4 linked regions of the Schizosaccharomyces pombe genome follow. The gene in region 3 interacts genetically with the main gene of each other region. Each region holds a gene or a part of one and is shown on either strand. Other genes may lie near its edges. The genes, in order: air1, alp31, pfd3 and dsk1.

Region 1 (3,709 bases), on a different chromosome or scaffold from region 3:
TTGATATCCCAGTTAAAATTCTTATCCTAAATAATGAAGAGCAAGGCATGGTCACTCAATGGCAAAACTTGTTTTATGAGAAACGCTATTCTCATACTCATCAAAAGAATCCCAACTTCGTTAAGTTGGCTGACGCTATGGGCATCAAAGCACTACGTGTAGAAAAGAGAGAAGATTTGGCTAAAAAAATGAAGGAGTTTTTGTCAACTAAAGGTCCTGTGCTTATGGAAGTTTTGGTTGCCCAAAAGGAACATGTGTATCCATTTGTCCCTGGTGGTAAGGCTCTTCACCAATTTATTTTGCATGAAAGCCTTTCATAAATTTTTTTGATTAATTTAAAAACAGCTATTTTGTAAGAGTCAGATGTAACACTTATTTAAACTTGCGTTAATTATCGTGTCACATTCTTTTAGACTCTGGTGGGCGGTTTGTCATTATTTACCCTAAAGCAAATTTGTTTGTTTTGCCTTGTTATCTTCGATTTTGGTTGTTTTTTTTTGTTTTGCTTTCTAACTATGGTTTACTCCGTTATCATAGCTTGTATTTAATTTTGATGATGGAGGTCAATAACATTACAAATTTTGCGAACATAGCAAATGAGAGTGTATAAAATTAATGTACATATATTTTAGATTTTGCCAATAAATTTTAGTAAGATAGTATTATCAATGAGTGCAATGCAATGTGAGCAGAGCGATACACCATGCGATGAATAATACCAGCACATGAATTACCATTTTCGTTTACGATTTTTTTTTGAAGTTTTGGTAAATTTTCTTCCATCTGAAGAATGAAAGGATAAATTGCCATTCTCCTCAGAAGGTGGGCTATGTTTTCTTTTAAAGCTTTTTGGCTTAGATCCCAGCCTAGATGCTAGAGAATTTCCTGGTTTGTGAAAAGGCCGTTGTTTCGACGATTTTTGATTTCGATTCTGCTCTCGCCTCTCCAATTGAAACTCTTTACGACGGGTTTCAAAAAACTCCTTGTTAGATGCATCATTTCCAGAAGGACAGTTCGCTTCACAAAATGCAGTGCTTTCAGGATAATTTGATCTAGATGGAAGAGTACAGTCGTCTCCAAAATGTTCATCAGATGCACAATTATAACAAAACTTTCGAACCTCAGAAACATCAATGCGAACAGGATGTTCTTTTTCGACATAATACCTCCAAATTAAAGGACACGTCGAACTAGTATGAGTATCGGTATGACAAGTCCGACAAACTCTAGGTCCTCTTTTTCGCGGCTCCGAACATCGCGCAGCTATATGACCCAGTAGTCCACAATTCATGCACTTCTTAGTCCAGGGGCATCTTACGGAAATATGATCATCAATTGCTCCACAAGTCGTACACTGTAATACAGTTAGTAACACTATTAAAAAAACAATGTCCGATCAAAATGCATACCAGAACATGAGGACAATCTTTAGATATGTGACCATTCCCTTTACAATTATGGCAAACTATACTTTCTGAGGGATCTGACCCGAAGTATCTACCCCTGCTCACCTAAATTTTATTAGTAAAAAGTATTAAAAAAAAACTTTTCAATCCATACGTCTGCCCATTCACTTCCTTCCACATCTTCCAAAGTACTATCGGAAAGATCCGTAGAGGAGTCATGGTCATCACTTCCTTGAAAATCATGCTTTTCCAAGCTCACCGAATTTGTGATACTCTGGTCAATCGGTAAAGAATTAATTTTTTGTAACAAGGCCGCATCGTCGATGTCTGAACCATCATCACTTTCTGCTTTTTGGTTTGAAACAGTCATGTCCATATATTGACAAGCAATGTAATAATGGCAAGCACAGTTTTCTTTAACACTTAACAGCCGGCCAGTAGTTTACTTCACAATATTCCCAATCAATTTAACAGTTTAAAAGCAAATAAAACATAAAACACTTCAAGTATTTAACTATCAAATGGAAATTTAATAGTTTCAGTAAAGGCAAAAAATTTTTGGTTAAGGTGTGAGTATTCACCTTACATGGATTATATCTGGCTTTCTCATGAGAAGTTTATTTCATTGAAATGAGCATGACAATAAATGAAATTCAATAAATAACTTATACTCCAAATTACAATTGTTCTCTCAAATGCAACACTTAATGCATAACCAAGAATGTCTGGTACTTAAAAGCCCTGATCGTGAAGAGATATTGAAAGTACAGCAGTAACTTAATTATATTAAAATATTAAATGATTGCACCTTCCCGACTCTTCAAGGCGTTGGATTTTAAAGTAGTTGAAAATTCGAGAGCTTCGTTTCAACACTTTGTAAAGCATAGATAAACAGTAATTTAACATTCAATGTTTAACTATGAACGTTCTTTGTATAGTTGTTGCTAATTGACATTAATTTCTTTTTAAATCATTTTAGCGTTTCAACACAGCTCACATTTATTACAAGACTCAACAACAGCCAAACACGCTAAAATGCCAAGATGTATGATACGATGAATAACAATAATTGAAAACTAATTAATGCTTAGATTTGTGTGATTACTGCCAAGTTTGGCTCACTCATGATAGCCAATCAGTTAGAAAAGCACACAATGCTGGAAGAGCCCATATACAAAATGTTCAGGACTACTATACGAAAGTAGCTCAAGAAGAAGCCCAAAAACAACTTGAAGAAAGGGCATCCTCTGGATTTTTAAAAAAGGGGAATGGTTCGCTAGACCTTCCTTATGCTTATGCGTTTCCTCGTAAGTTATTACTTTATAATACTTTTGTTGAATACGAAGTCTAATATTCCGAATTTTAGCCAAATATAATGTCTTTAACTTAGGATGTCCACCACCGCCCTACATTGTATCCGCAAATACCTATATGGCTCCTAAAGGAATGAATGCTATGAATGCTGCTGCATTCGTCCCTATGATGCCTGCTGTAAATTTAACAAACCAAGTAGCTTTTTCAGCTCCCCAGACTACAGCTTCTTCTAACACTCAACTTACACAACAGCAGCAATCTCTTCCTCAGACAAATGAACATCAACGCGCGCGTACTCATTCGAATGCTAATAACCATTTTACTAAAACCCACCATCAGGGTCAAAGAAGTCATCAAAGGTTTGTACGTGCTTAAAATGACATCTAAAAGATTAAAACTTGTTTGTTACTATTAATGTACTGTATAATAGCTATTGTTTATAACCGTTTACTACTGGTAATTCTTTCTCTTTGCGTTACGTAGTGAAATTTAAGGACAACTCCAAATACACAGTATTTACCAAGAATATTTAGATATTCATCTCAAAGCATGCCAAAAGAAGATGATTCTTTATGTAAAATAGTAGTACGTCGTGAACCGCTTGATGTTTTACTACCTTATTATGACGCGTCTGAAACCACCGTTCAAAAAATACTGCACGAAAATGACAGCACACTGAGTGTTAAATTCTTGGCGGGTGTTGAAGCATTGATAAAAAAAGATGAACTTGATAAATATAAAAATGGAAAAGCTTGTTTAAGAGTATGGTTAAAACACAAATCTCGAAAGAGGTACCATGGGTATATGACTTCAACCGATAAGGATGAGGAAGAGAAAAATGATTATTTACTGAAGTCTAATGGTAGTAAAGTCTTAAGGGACTCAACACGTACCAAGAAATTTAAGTTCGGAAAGGAATTTCACTGCGCACTTAATCCTTCATTTGTCAGTGATGAAACGGCTTCTGACAGTGCAACTTCATCTTCATC
Region 2 (3,392 bases), 2.8 Mb from region 3:
TCTCCATTTCATTGTCTACAATGCCTGATTGGGAAATACTAGCTTCTCTATTAATACTAAGACTCTCCGCCCAAACAGTTGATGTAGCGTCAAGGTCAAGTTTAGATGCTTCAACGACTTTTTGGTTTTTAGAATCGTAATCCTCTACAGGATTTAAATCATCTTCTTCAAGAAGGTGTGGATCTATTTTTGTATCAGCTCCCTCTTCGCCATCTACATCTTCCTTCAACGATGAAGATGCAGAAGGGTCAATATTTACTTCAGAGTTGCCGCCGTCAGATTTCTTCTCTTCTTCTAAACCCAACACAGGTGATTCCCTTGATAATATTGGCGGACTTGCCATAGGTATACAAATGGAACGTTTTATGCTCCCAATCTGTTTAATGTTCACGCGAAGTGTTTCTTTCTCTTTGCTCAGATGGTAAGTAACGTCAAACAATGAGCTGTACAATCTAACATAGTGATACGCTACATTACACTCACAATAAAAGTGCAAATAAATACTAGAGGACGACTGTCTATGCTGCTTGTTAGCAGGAACATTTGGTTGTTTTAAAATTGTTTGATTGTCCAGCTAAAATTTAAATCTCTAGTAGAATAAAGGGGAATACGTATGTTTTTTTATGTGAACAGTTTCACCTAACTGGCAAAATTAGAATAGATTGGCGAAATCTTAAAAAAGATTTAAGCATGACTTGGATAATCCTTAAGTAGTTGGGATTGTCTATTATTTTAATGGATTGGAATAAAAATCGAAGACACAGTACAGTTGAGTAGGATAGCATTGAAAGGGTGGGTAAAGAATGATGAACGTAGAACCTTTTCATGATCGTCTTTTGAAGGGTCAGTAATAAATTTTAGCAGGGATCTACAAAAGCTAGTAAATGTGTATTCAGTGGTACCCATTCGTGGGGAAATTCGTTTGCTCTTTTTCAATTACTTCTTTTGCTTTTTCTAAATATTCATTTGCTTGTTCAAGTTCAGGAGTTCCTTCGTATGCACTGTCAGAAGAAATGGATTCCAAGTCGTTCGTCGCATTACGAAGACGTACAAGAGCATCTGGCAACGCCTCAAGATGCTTCTTCAAAACAAATTTCTAGAGGTCCAGAATGTCAGTACTTTGATTATTTTTTATTTTAAAAAAGATACGCTAAAGCGGAAACCACCGAAAAGTATCTTCAGCTTGGTAGAAACATCTTCTAGCACAACACGTCCAACGTTTATATGGTTTCAACTAATGCAACATACCTGATGCTCAATTTCTGCAGAATCTTCCCCATTATCAATTTTACTTTGTACACGTTTCTCGGCCTCGTTAATATCGATATGAGCCAACTAAACAATTGTTGAGGTCAGAAAATTCCATCTACAAAATCGCGATCCAAAAAGGAAACTTACTTCTACATCTTTAATAATTCTTTTAACGACATTAGTTTTGATGACTAAGCTCCTAACAGTATTTGACATGGTAGAAAATAAAATGGACGCGATATGCAAAGGAATAATGTTAGGTTGGATGATTTTCCTTGACTGCAGTGTAGGTAACGTTGGAATACAAAGGAATGCTAATGTTAGCGTGTGGTGATAAGTTACGAGAAACGATTAAGAAAAGCTAGTTCTAGTTAAGTTTTCAATTTCTTTTAAAGCCCTTTCCTTAAATTCCTAAAAAAGGGTATTTGATTAAATGTTTGCATCAAGTATCAGACTAGTTATTGATCGACAAACGTTTCATTCCTATATTATGTATGAGATAAAATTGCTCAGTTATTTCTAAATTTACGATTCACCGATACTTGTACCAAAAATTTCATGCTTTTATGGATGCTCAATCATATGGGAGGTTGAGCTTTTCGGGATTCAGCTATATGAAAATTTTCTAGCGCGTAATTCATTATATTTAGACGTAATTGCTTTTACAAATATTTTCCAAAACAAAAATTTCTGATTCTCCGTACACACAGTTATCTCCCAACAACCGAAATTGTTAAAAGCACGATTTCATATAAGGATAGGTTGATTGCTAATCACTCGAACCACAGTCTGTTAATAATTAGTCAACTTTGCCTAGCCAAAAAAATTCAGCTTCTATCTTAATCCTTGGAAAACAAAAAATAAAAAAAGGACCTAATACCCTCTTTCAAAGTAGATCCTGTACAAGATATTTAGTCTACTCAAAAAGCCGGTACAACGATATTAATGTCAACAGACTTCGGTATAATGGGACCAGTCTTCAATGTGAGGATAATAGCTAAAATCCTTTACTCTATATAGGACTTTAAATGGATCCTTGAATATTATTCTGTTTTCTAAAATGATTGATCATATTCTACGCCACAGATGCATCAAAAATTCAAATCATCGCTTGGGAGATAAAAGAGTGAACGCTTTTTCATAATCGAACAGCAACCTTTCGAACCCTAGTAGTCATTAGTATTTTAATCCACTTTTTTTTTTGCAAAGCTATGAAAAACAAAGACTGCAACCTGGTATAAGCATTTTAAACATATCGTACTTTGCGTGATCTAACAAATTAATCTCTATCTTGTCAGTTCACAACTTTGGACAGATACAGATGATGAATTTCGACAATTAAACATTTGCAAACAAGTCAAAGCTCAACATACAAGCATTCACTGTTTAACGCTTTTTGAACTTTCTCATTTCCTGAAACGTTTGTTTACAAGCTGATATAAAAAAAGGGATTGAATTGAACGGCTCAGTTGATATAGATTAATTTAAAAAGTGAACTCCGTTTAGAAAGTATCGCATAAGTTAAAAAATGGTATTCAAACAAAGCTAACAAAAACGAAACAAATCGCATTTTCCCATGAAAAATACAAGGTTGTTCGGAAAACTGCATATTTGAACATGATGACAGCCAAGAAGAAAAATAGAAGGATTTATTAGAATTCCCTTAAACTTTTCATTATAGTCTTTTCGGTACGGTAACAACCATATATACAATCTATACATTTCTTCAGACCATTCAAATCTTAAAATGGAGCTCCCCTTCAATTGAAGAAACGGAAAATTTTTTCTTGTCAAATTTTTACAGACTACTAACCTACTAAACAGAACCTCATTAGTGGTAAAGTCCATTTTAATACTTCTTGCTTATTAATTCATTATTTTATTGCCGTAAAACATAAATTATCCTTTTATTTTCTTCTTCTTTTCTTCCCTTGTATAATACTCATTTTTCGCCAAGTCTCAAGTATTCCAGTGTTCGATTCCGACCATGGAAACGATCTCGGTCGGGTAAAATGAAGACTCTGGTAGTCTCCAGGCTATTGCATCTCGTTCAGATTTGGGTTGATCTTCTGGAACAATGCGGGCAACTGGTAGAACGTTAATGAGGGAACAGATGAAAAACTGGAAACCTAGATGCGTGA
Region 3 (3,258 bases):
GACATCCATTGAGTCATTCTTTACAATTTGTAAAATTAATTTGTATCACTAATTTTGAAGGAAGCTATTTTGGTATTAATACCGCTTTTGGTCTCCACTTCCTTTTCGAAACTCTTAACAGCGATTAGGCCGGGTATCTTCCAGTGTGATGTATAGGTATTTGTCGTTTTTTTATCATTTCCGTTAATAAAGAACTCTTTTATCCAGCTTCTTACACTGTCAACTGTTGTGAAAGGAACACATTTAGAATTTCATTTTCCTTATTTGTTGTGATTTAAATCGTTTGACATAATTTTAAATTTGGTTTGAAATGTGTGTGAGAAGGCTTGTTTTATTCATTTAGTTTATTGCTTGTTTGCACGAAAATCCAGAACGGAGCATTAATGTAATCCTTTTTTATTCTGTAAAGCGTTTTTATACAAATGTTGGTTATACGTTTCTAAAATAAGAATATTGTTATAATAATATAGTTTTTTCTATCATTTGTTACACACACTAAAGAGACATTAAGGATAAGCAAATGTGTTAAAATGATAATATATTTTGGAAACATTTATAAAGAAATTAAGCAGCTTTGACTAACTACATTTTTGTTTTTTTCCTAAGCAAAACTGTATAGTTATACACGCGAGCTGTATTCACTTCCATTGTAGTGACTTGAGCTCTCAAAAATTCCAAATCTTCTTTACATGCTTTCAATGTTTCTTCCGCTGAGTTCAGCTTCTGCGTTAACAATGCTTCTGCCTCTTCAACCGTATACTCAAGCATAACATTTGCACCTAACCAAAGGTAGACATTGTCTTTAGCTTCTACTTCTGCTTTTGCATTTAATGTGTCATTTAGTTCATATGTAACAGTAAAAGAGTCACCTTGTCGCTCTTTCAAGAACTGAACACTCTGTAACGTTTTTCGAATGTCAGGAATTTTGTCATCCAAACTAGCAACTCTCCTGACCACACTAGTCTCCATGAATTTGTACTTTCTAAATTACATTATATTAATATGAAATAACATATATATCCTTACGCAATTGCTTCTTGGAACTTTTCGAGATGACCTTGAGCTTCCTCCATAGATAACTCTTTGAACTCAAAAAATTGAGCGGGTGGAATTCCCCGTGGATTTCTATTCATATTAGTTATTTTTTTAAAAAGTATTATACTTCAGTACATACGAAGAACTCATTCTCTATGCAACAGAAAAAGGGGCGGTTGTTTTGAACAGGTAACTGAGTGTCAAAGGTAATAGGTATAGTAATGTTACAAATTTGGAAATGCGTATTATTCCCTAATTACCAAATCTAACCAAGTCTGAACTACACAGTCTAAATAGGCAGAATATTTTGGTTATACACATGTAATTGATAATTGTTGCAAAATCTATTCATCCAATTTACCAACCATAACCTGTATAGAACCATTGCGCAGCGTAATGCATTTTCATTTGAAAGTACTAGCGAGAGTTTTATATCACTAAACTTTTTAAACGTTTTTTAATTACTTGAAATCACATATTTTAGTTAAACATATTCTGTTTGGAAAAGGCAGTTTTGTTGAAAAAATTGTATTTGAAAGACAACTTTATAGAAGGATAGTAAGAAAGTTAATTCCTAAATGGTCTATATTGAACCAAAAATAGTTACATTAAAAAACGAGAGTCATTAAAAGAGCAGATAAATTTGACATTAGAACCACTTTGGAACATTAATCGAAATTTAATCAATCATACAAACAAAAAAATTACAAAGTGCTCGTTTAGGTCACTGATCAAGAAGGGCGGACGGTATAAAGTAATTTGAAGTAAAATCAAAAATGTCAGCGAATAATTTAGAGGGATCCTCCGTGGTTTCAGGTTCTGCATCTTGCATAGGCGGTTCATTTGGGTGTAACATACTGTTGATGAATCTTAAAACATATCCAAATCGGACAGCCATGCCATCATCAAATGTTACGATATCAACCATTCTTTCTTGTACATATAATGTTATGTCACCTAAGTCAGAAGGCACCTCAAAGCCTTTATCACGGCAAAACGCAGCCAACATGAGGGCGTGGATAATCTCCAACAACGCTACCAAAAGCCAGCCTCGTTTTTCTAATATAGTGATTTGAGATATGAGTAGCCTCACGCACTGAATACAACTTTCACCCAAATTACCAATAATAGTTTCTTCATCTTCTAAAATCCCTGAATCCAGGGTAATAAAACATTGATACAAATTCACACGTGCAGTCCAGAACACCATTTTCAAAAATATGTATCGAAATTGAATATCTTCATTAGAAGGGTCATAAAACTTTGCTTCTATATCTACCAAAATAAGCGAAAGCTGTGATTCATAACTCTCCAGTTTATCAATGAATTTACTAACGGTGAGTGAATGAACAGATTTATAGATTGAAACACCACAATCAAGTAACCTTCCAAGAAGTAGATGAAAATTGTAGCTAATATCGTCATTAAAAAAACAACGAAGCGGCTTGAGACGACCATAAGTGTCGTGTTGAATGAATGGCGGACGGTACTTTAATACACATTCCAAACCATCAATTTCACAGAGAGCAAACCACAAATCTGACGTATTTTTTCCTATTTTTTCCGTAACTTGGAAGAGGGGAGTTACTAAGGTTGATACGTGAATGCTTCTACATAAGTCAGTATTCACTCCTCTTATTCTTGTGCGAAATTTTGTTGCATACGCTCGCAAAAGCAGCATCTGAATTATTTCTTTATCAGGCAAGCATAAATGTTTATATTCCTGCTCGGATATCTCGTTAAGTTTTAAATTTATAAGACGGCTGGATTCCAATGGAGTAATCCCCGCCGAATTATAAAAATTGAGAATAACATCAGGCAAATCGCTCAGCTGGATAGTTGCAGCAATAATTGGTAATAAAGTGAAGGCATCTTCGTACGAAAAAGATTCTGGTGATTCAATGTTGTTTAAGCTTTTTTCTACTGTCTCTTGATCATAAATAGGACAGACAACATTTAGTGTTTTAAAAAATAAATTAACAATTTTCTGTGATATGCAAAATGGCGGTAAAAGGTTCGCCAAACTCTCAACAACCACATTATCTTTATAGCTACTGTAAGCCTGAATTGAAAACGAAGGTCGAGATGAGCACATGTCGCTATCCTTTCTATATTTAATCAACTCAAAGAGTGATCTCCATCCATAAAAATCAAATTTCTCATTTTTTTTCGGATTAATATCGGGAGAAACTTCCAGTGTGGTTTCAGAATCAGAAGCATTTT
Region 4 (5,353 bases), on a different chromosome or scaffold from region 3:
TTTGGGGAGAGTCGAAAATGGAGGTTGGGTGTTGAATCTCTTCCGTATTTGGCTATTTTTGTTGGTGTTTGTATTGGATGCTCTAGCGTTGCCCTGTTCCAGCCCTACTATTTTAAAAAGATGGATGAAAATAAAGGAAGACCTGTTCCTGAAGCACGACTTCCCTCCATGATGATCGGTTGCATTGTCTTTCCCATTGGCATCTTTTGGCTTGCTTGGACTGGTAATTATCCATGGATTCATTGGATTGTTCCAACTTTGGCAGGTAGTTTTATTGGCTTTGGAATCATTACAATTTTTCAACAAACAATCAATTATATCATTGATTGTTATAGTGGATGTTCTGCTTCTGCAATCGCGGCCAATACATTACTTAGAAGTTCGTTTGGCGCGGCATTTCCTCTTTTTACAACCCAAATGTTCAATAATTTGGGAATTGGTTGGGCTGGTTCTCTGGTCGGATTTGTTGCAGTTGGGCTTATTCCAGTTCCTTTTATGTTGTTTTTATATGGGCCGAAATTACGACAAATGAGCAAGCACTGTCTAAAGGATTAATTCGTCATAGAAGTCCGCTTTTTAGTTGATTTGCTTGACCCTCTCTTTTCCAGTTTTTGTTTTTCTTATTTCTGTTATATTCATCTTTTTTATTCAGAAACCATGCCCGCGGTTTGTTGCCTTGGGTTAATGGCCTCAGCATTTACTTGTTGTTATTGTTATTTTCGTTAATTTAACCAGTTTGCTGCCGTTTAGATATTTAGAAACGATGGACTTTGTTTTAAATGATCTCTATTACCCGCTGCCTCTTTCTTTTGTCTTTTTGTGACTTCTTTAATAATTCATCATCCTCAATGATTACTTTTGTTGATCTCCGTTTCCTTTATGTTTCTGATCATCACAAAAAAAGTACCTTTCAAATAGACATTTATATTTATTGGTTGGTTATGAACCTTACATATGATTTCCGTTTACCATAATACATTGCTAAGACCTCAACAAAAATAACTGTTAGCACAGGCCATACTTGTCAATTTATTATATCCCGTTTTTATCAATGTAATTGAATGTTTTCGAGTCCAGGTCTTGCCCGTAGAATCACGGTTAGTGTGAGTAGGTAGTAGATCTCGGGCCGTAGGTGTGAATGCCGTAAAGCTAGAACATTATCTGAGAATTTTCATTTTAAGAACGCCGTATGTTGAGAGAGAAAACAGATCTTAAATATCCCTCTTTTCAACGACTCAAGAATTGTTTACATTTTTTCTAGCTATCCTGTCGAGATCTAAGAGCTGAATGGGATACAGTTATAATGGATAACGATATAAATTTGGAAGACCTTAACACATCTTATGGAATTCTAACGGCTGGGCTACTTCGGTAAAAGTAGTTAGTAAGGGATAGCGATGGGATGAAAGCGCAGGGGGTTCATATTCTATCAACTGCTGATATTTTTAGTGATGCCTTAGTCATTGGTATTCATATATACGGATTTTTAAGTAGTATTATTAAAATATTTATGGTACAGTAACGGAGTGTAAAGGTGGCTTCTCCTACTGGCGTAAAATAATTAGTAAACCATTTTCCCATTTTTTGTTATTTACTATATCGAAACGCTCTTCCTAATGCGCAAAGTTTCCTCGGTAGTGTGCTAAGACTCCACGGTGTTTCCCCGTGTTGATTTTCGCACTAAAAATACTACTCCATACCGTATTTATAACCAGAACAAACAACAACAACAACGAAGGAATTGGTGTATTCACATATCTCAGATATTTTAATTTAAGAGCTGGAGGGACATATCAGTAGTTTCTTCATACGGGGCAGCCAGCCATTTTGAAATGGGAAGTGACGGGTCGAGTTTGTCACCGAAAGTGTCACAACCGGGACACACTGAAATAGTTGACCATGTCAGTGAAAAGGTGATCACGAATGGAAAAAATGTTAATAAAAAGGTCAATGCTGAAGTAGACGGAAAAAGCATGGTGGAAAAGGTAAAAACGCACGAAGAAAATGCAGAGGACTATCACTATGGTGGATACCACCCAGTCTACATTGGTGAAGAATTTCATCACCGTCGATATGTCGTTGAAAGAAAATTAGGCTGGGGACATTTTTCAACGGTTTGGCTTGCATATGATCGAGCTGCCAAACGGAGAGTAGCTTTGAAGGTGGTGCGTTCAGCAGAGCACTATCGAGAGACCTCAATTGATGAAATTCGCATTTTGCAGAAAATTAGAGAAGGGGACGAAAAGCATTTGGGCAAAAAGCATATCATTTCTTTGCTCGATTATTTTGTGCATCGTGGTCCTAATGGAGCTCATGTCTGTATGGTATTCGAAGTTCTCGGTGAGAATCTTTTAAGTTTGATACAGTCATACGGCCATCGAGGAGTACCTGTGGGTATTGTAAAGCAAATTGCCTACCAATTACTCATCGCTCTGGATTACTTGCATCGAGAATGCGGGATCATTCATACTGATCTTAAACCCGAAAATGTTTTAATATGCATTGATCAGGATGCCTTGCAACATATTGAGGCACCTGCAACAACTTCCTCCCCCACTTCTAATACCTCTTCTTCAAAAACAAGAAATAACACTGGTTATACAGCCAAAGCTCCAATTATTAAACGTGGCCAATCTGTAGATAACTCTGCCCAAGAACGCAAGACATTTGCAAAAAATCCAACTAAGAATTCTAAGCCTGCTGGCCAGGTCATTCCTAGCAGTCCTTTTACTTCCACTTTGAGCCGCTTTCCTTCATTAGAAGGTGCTGTTTCAGAAATCAGCCTTCGTGACTCTCAAAAGCATAATTCTCATCCTAATTCTCCGTTTTCTAGTGGAGATAATTCTCTTATACTTGATGGTGTTAACGGTTCTCAGGAACCCGTTCCAAAAATCACTGTTAAAATTGCCGATCTCGGTAACGCGTGCTGGACACGGAAGCATTTCACCAACGATGTGCAAACCCGTCAGTATAGGTCTCCAGAAGTAATTCTAGGATGTCGCTGGGGAGCTTCCGCTGATTGCTGGAGTTTTGCCTGTATCATTTTTGAATTGCTAACCGGCGATTACCTTTTCGATCCACGGAATGGGAATTCTTATTCTAAGGAGGATGACCACATTGCCCAAATTATTGAGTTATTGGTTAATTATCCTAAGCAAATGGCACTTTCAGGAAAGCACTCCCGCGATTTATTTAACCGTCGCGGTGAACTCCGAAATATTCATAAATTGAAGTTTTGGCCTTTAAAAGATGTTTTGGAGCAAAAATACCATTTTTCAGCCGAGTTGGCTCAACAAATATCAGACTTTTTATCTCCTATGTTATGTTTTGATCCTGCCAAGCGAACCAATGCTGGTTACATGAGCAATTCTCCATGGTTGCGCGAAGTGGCTGATCCTACGTTCAAAATCGAGACTACTGGAGCAACCGGTGAAGATGTACCCGGATGGGCTACTGAAATTCGTTAGTGTTTACCTTGATATTGGTTTTGAAGCGCTAGTAAATGATTTTTTTTTATATATAGTTTTTTTTTGCGATATCGTCCCTTTTTTAATTTCCCACCATTAGCGTGATTGCTTTAAAAAAGCATGACACCTTTCACTCTGAAATGGGTTACGTATGATTATCACGATTCCTTCTTTTGATCAACATTTACTGCACTGAAATTTGAACGAAATTTCCTTTTACTTAATGAATATTTAAGATATAGCAGGGTTTAGGTCAGCTGCTTTTTAAATCATATTATGTTTAGAAAACGCATAAAATAAAGTTTTGTCATTCAAAAGGAAGTTAATTGGAAATTGGTAACTTGTAATGTCACATATTAATATACTGTTCAGAATGCTGTCGAAAGAAGGAACAAACCGATGGTAAGATAACTCATTAAGGAACCATTAGATTAAACCGTACCTTTATTTCTCCTTTCTTCCAGCATTCGTTTTTCAAATTCGGTATTAAAATACTTTCTATCGCAGTCTAAAATAAATCTGGCACAACTTTCTTTGGATTCTTGAAGTCTCTTATTTGACTCACGGTATTCATCTGCTAAAGAAGAAGAATGAGGGTCAATTTGGGGTGGTTTTTGAGGACGGCCAGAGTTTTTTTGGGCTCGTTGGAAGTCAACACATAATCCAAGTAATTTTTCCGTTGTATACATATTACCAATGCAAGTGTGAGGCTGATAATGCATATATAGATCGAGTATATCCGCAATCACTGCTTCCGTTAGTGCTGGTGGAGCGAAGAACGATCTGGGAATTATAGGTTGAGGAAGTTGCTGTAACTTGCAAGCAATAGAAATCGATGCGACGGCAACAATATGGGCTGGATATTTTAACATTGTGTATGTTTTATAAGCATCAGTGCAGACATTCCAAGCTATACTTGCCGTGGAAGATGAAACTGAAAGTAAATTAGTTAACTCGAAAATTATAAGGTAAAATGAATAGCAGTCATACATTTCAGTGATTTTGCAAATTTTACCATGTAATTGTGTGGATGTCGGACTCGAAAATCGAAACAAATCAATTCCAGTGTCATTCTTTCTAAACCTAGAATCCTCTTCTTGTTCTCTTCGATTAGCTAATACACCTGTAAGCAAGTCTCCTTATAAACAAAAAACAATTATTGCGCACCTTGTAACATACTTGTGAATGAGCATCGACCTCAGAACCTGGATGCTTTTGAAGATAATGTGCTAAAAGAATATCACGAAACTTTTTGGCCGTATCTTCGATTTTACTAGCAACTACTAAGCAAGCAGTAGCGCACTCCTAAATGTGTTAGTTATTTTTGAAAGAAAAAGAGCCTAAATCAAGAGAATATGATGTTTATAACTTGGAGTAGCTGAGCTAACATTATTAAAAACTGTAGTCTTTTTTAATAGTATGACCAATGTACAGCATTCAGAATATTCTTATATCAGAATACGTAAAATTTCAAATAGCACAGCATACTCATGTGCGAAAGACATCCAAATAACATACCAGCAAAGGAATTTCATTCACGGGAAAAAATAGTTGGAAACGACTGTATAAAAGCATTGCAAGGCCGCTGGTCCTTACAGGGCTAAAAAAAAGTTAGATTCTAGATAATTTTGAGGAAAAGCATACAATTTTAAAGTTTTTGAAAGTGTTGATATCCAAGCGAACGCCTGCATTCGCAAATTATTTTCTTTGGGATCTCGCGTCGACAAAATTCGACTTATTTCTTTTTCTGAATAGTATGGGTGTGACATTCGTATTGAAAGTACATGATTCTCATTTTCTGCCATTTTAGCAGCTAAAATGGTGCTGGGTTTGTGAAGGCCTGGCTTTACCTGCAAGGTGCAAGTATGCTGAAGTTAAGCGATTCC

Evidence for each region.
Region 1: mutations in pfd3 (region 3) and air1 together harm fitness more than expected from each alone (negative genetic interaction), as found in Schizosaccharomyces pombe (2 studies listed by BioGRID).
Region 2: mutations in pfd3 (region 3) and alp31 together harm fitness more than expected from each alone (negative genetic interaction), as found in Schizosaccharomyces pombe (2 studies listed by BioGRID).
Region 4: mutations in pfd3 (region 3) and dsk1 together harm fitness more than expected from each alone (negative genetic interaction), as found in Schizosaccharomyces pombe (2 studies listed by BioGRID).

What each region holds. Positions count from the first base shown.
Region 1 is NC_003423.3:978,799-982,507, forward strand, and holds air1 (TRAMP complex zinc knuckle subunit Air1), read right to left. Parts: upstream 1,971-3,709; 5' UTR 1,783-1,970; coding exon 1,561-1,782; intron 1,512-1,560; coding exon 1,410-1,511; intron 1,355-1,409; coding exon 731-1,354; 3' UTR 560-730; downstream 1-559. Other genes in the region: ilv1 (acetolactate synthase catalytic subunit), read left to right, coding at 1-320; U1 snRNP-associated protein Usp103, read left to right, coding at 2,442-2,451, 2,498-2,713, 2,773-3,095; SHREC complex ATP-dependent chromatin remodeller Mit1, read left to right, coding at 3,270-3,709. UniProt on the Schizosaccharomyces pombe protein: Component of the TRAMP (TRF4) and TRAMP5 complexes which have a poly(A) RNA polymerase activity and are involved in a post-transcriptional quality control mechanism limiting inappropriate expression of genetic information.
Region 2 is NC_003424.3:3,375,223-3,378,614, reverse strand, and holds alp31 (tubulin-specific chaperone cofactor A Alp31), read right to left. Parts: upstream 1,510-3,392; 5' UTR 1,468-1,509; coding exon 1,399-1,467; intron 1,336-1,398; coding exon 1,249-1,335; intron 1,097-1,248; coding exon 893-1,096; 3' UTR 715-892; coding exon of another isoform or gene 657-714; 3' UTR 612-656; coding exon of another isoform or gene 594-611; 3' UTR 547-593; downstream 1-546. Other genes in the region: SPOM_SPAC8E11.05C (uncharacterized protein), read right to left, coding at 1-343; SPOM_SPAC8E11.06 (uncharacterized protein), read left to right, coding at 521-546, 594-611, 657-714; SPOM_SPAC8E11.08C (uncharacterized protein), read right to left, coding at 2,797-3,099. UniProt on the Schizosaccharomyces pombe protein: Required for the maintenance of microtubule structures and cell polarity. Beta-tubulin-folding protein; may have a regulatory role in the tubulin-folding pathway.
Region 3 is NC_003424.3:600,301-603,558, forward strand, and holds pfd3 (prefoldin subunit Pfd3), read right to left. Parts: upstream 1,219-3,258; 5' UTR 1,186-1,218; coding exon 1,175-1,185; exon of another isoform or gene 1,126-1,174; coding exon 1,027-1,125; intron 983-1,026; coding exon 583-982; 3' UTR 526-582; downstream 1-525. Other genes in the region: SPOM_SPAC3H8.08C (transcription factor), read right to left, coding at 1,760-3,258.
Region 4 is NC_003423.3:824,293-829,645, reverse strand, and holds dsk1 (SR protein-specific kinase Dsk1), read left to right. Parts: upstream 1-1,713; 5' UTR 1,714-1,832; coding exon 1,833-3,467; 3' UTR 3,468-3,898; coding exon of another isoform or gene 3,899-4,401; 3' UTR 4,402-4,457; coding exon of another isoform or gene 4,458-4,581; 3' UTR 4,582-4,646; coding exon of another isoform or gene 4,647-4,772; 3' UTR 4,773-4,841; downstream 4,842-5,353. Other genes in the region: SPOM_SPBC530.15C (spermidine family transporter), read left to right, coding at 1-555; lsc1 (Lsk1 associated cyclin), read right to left, coding at 3,899-4,401, 4,458-4,581, 4,647-4,772, 4,986-5,067, 5,112-5,272. UniProt on the Schizosaccharomyces pombe protein: May play an important role in mitotic control by altering cellular location, degree of phosphorylation and kinase activity. Abundant expression accelerates the exit when cells are in M-phase and also delays the entry into mitosis when cells are in G2.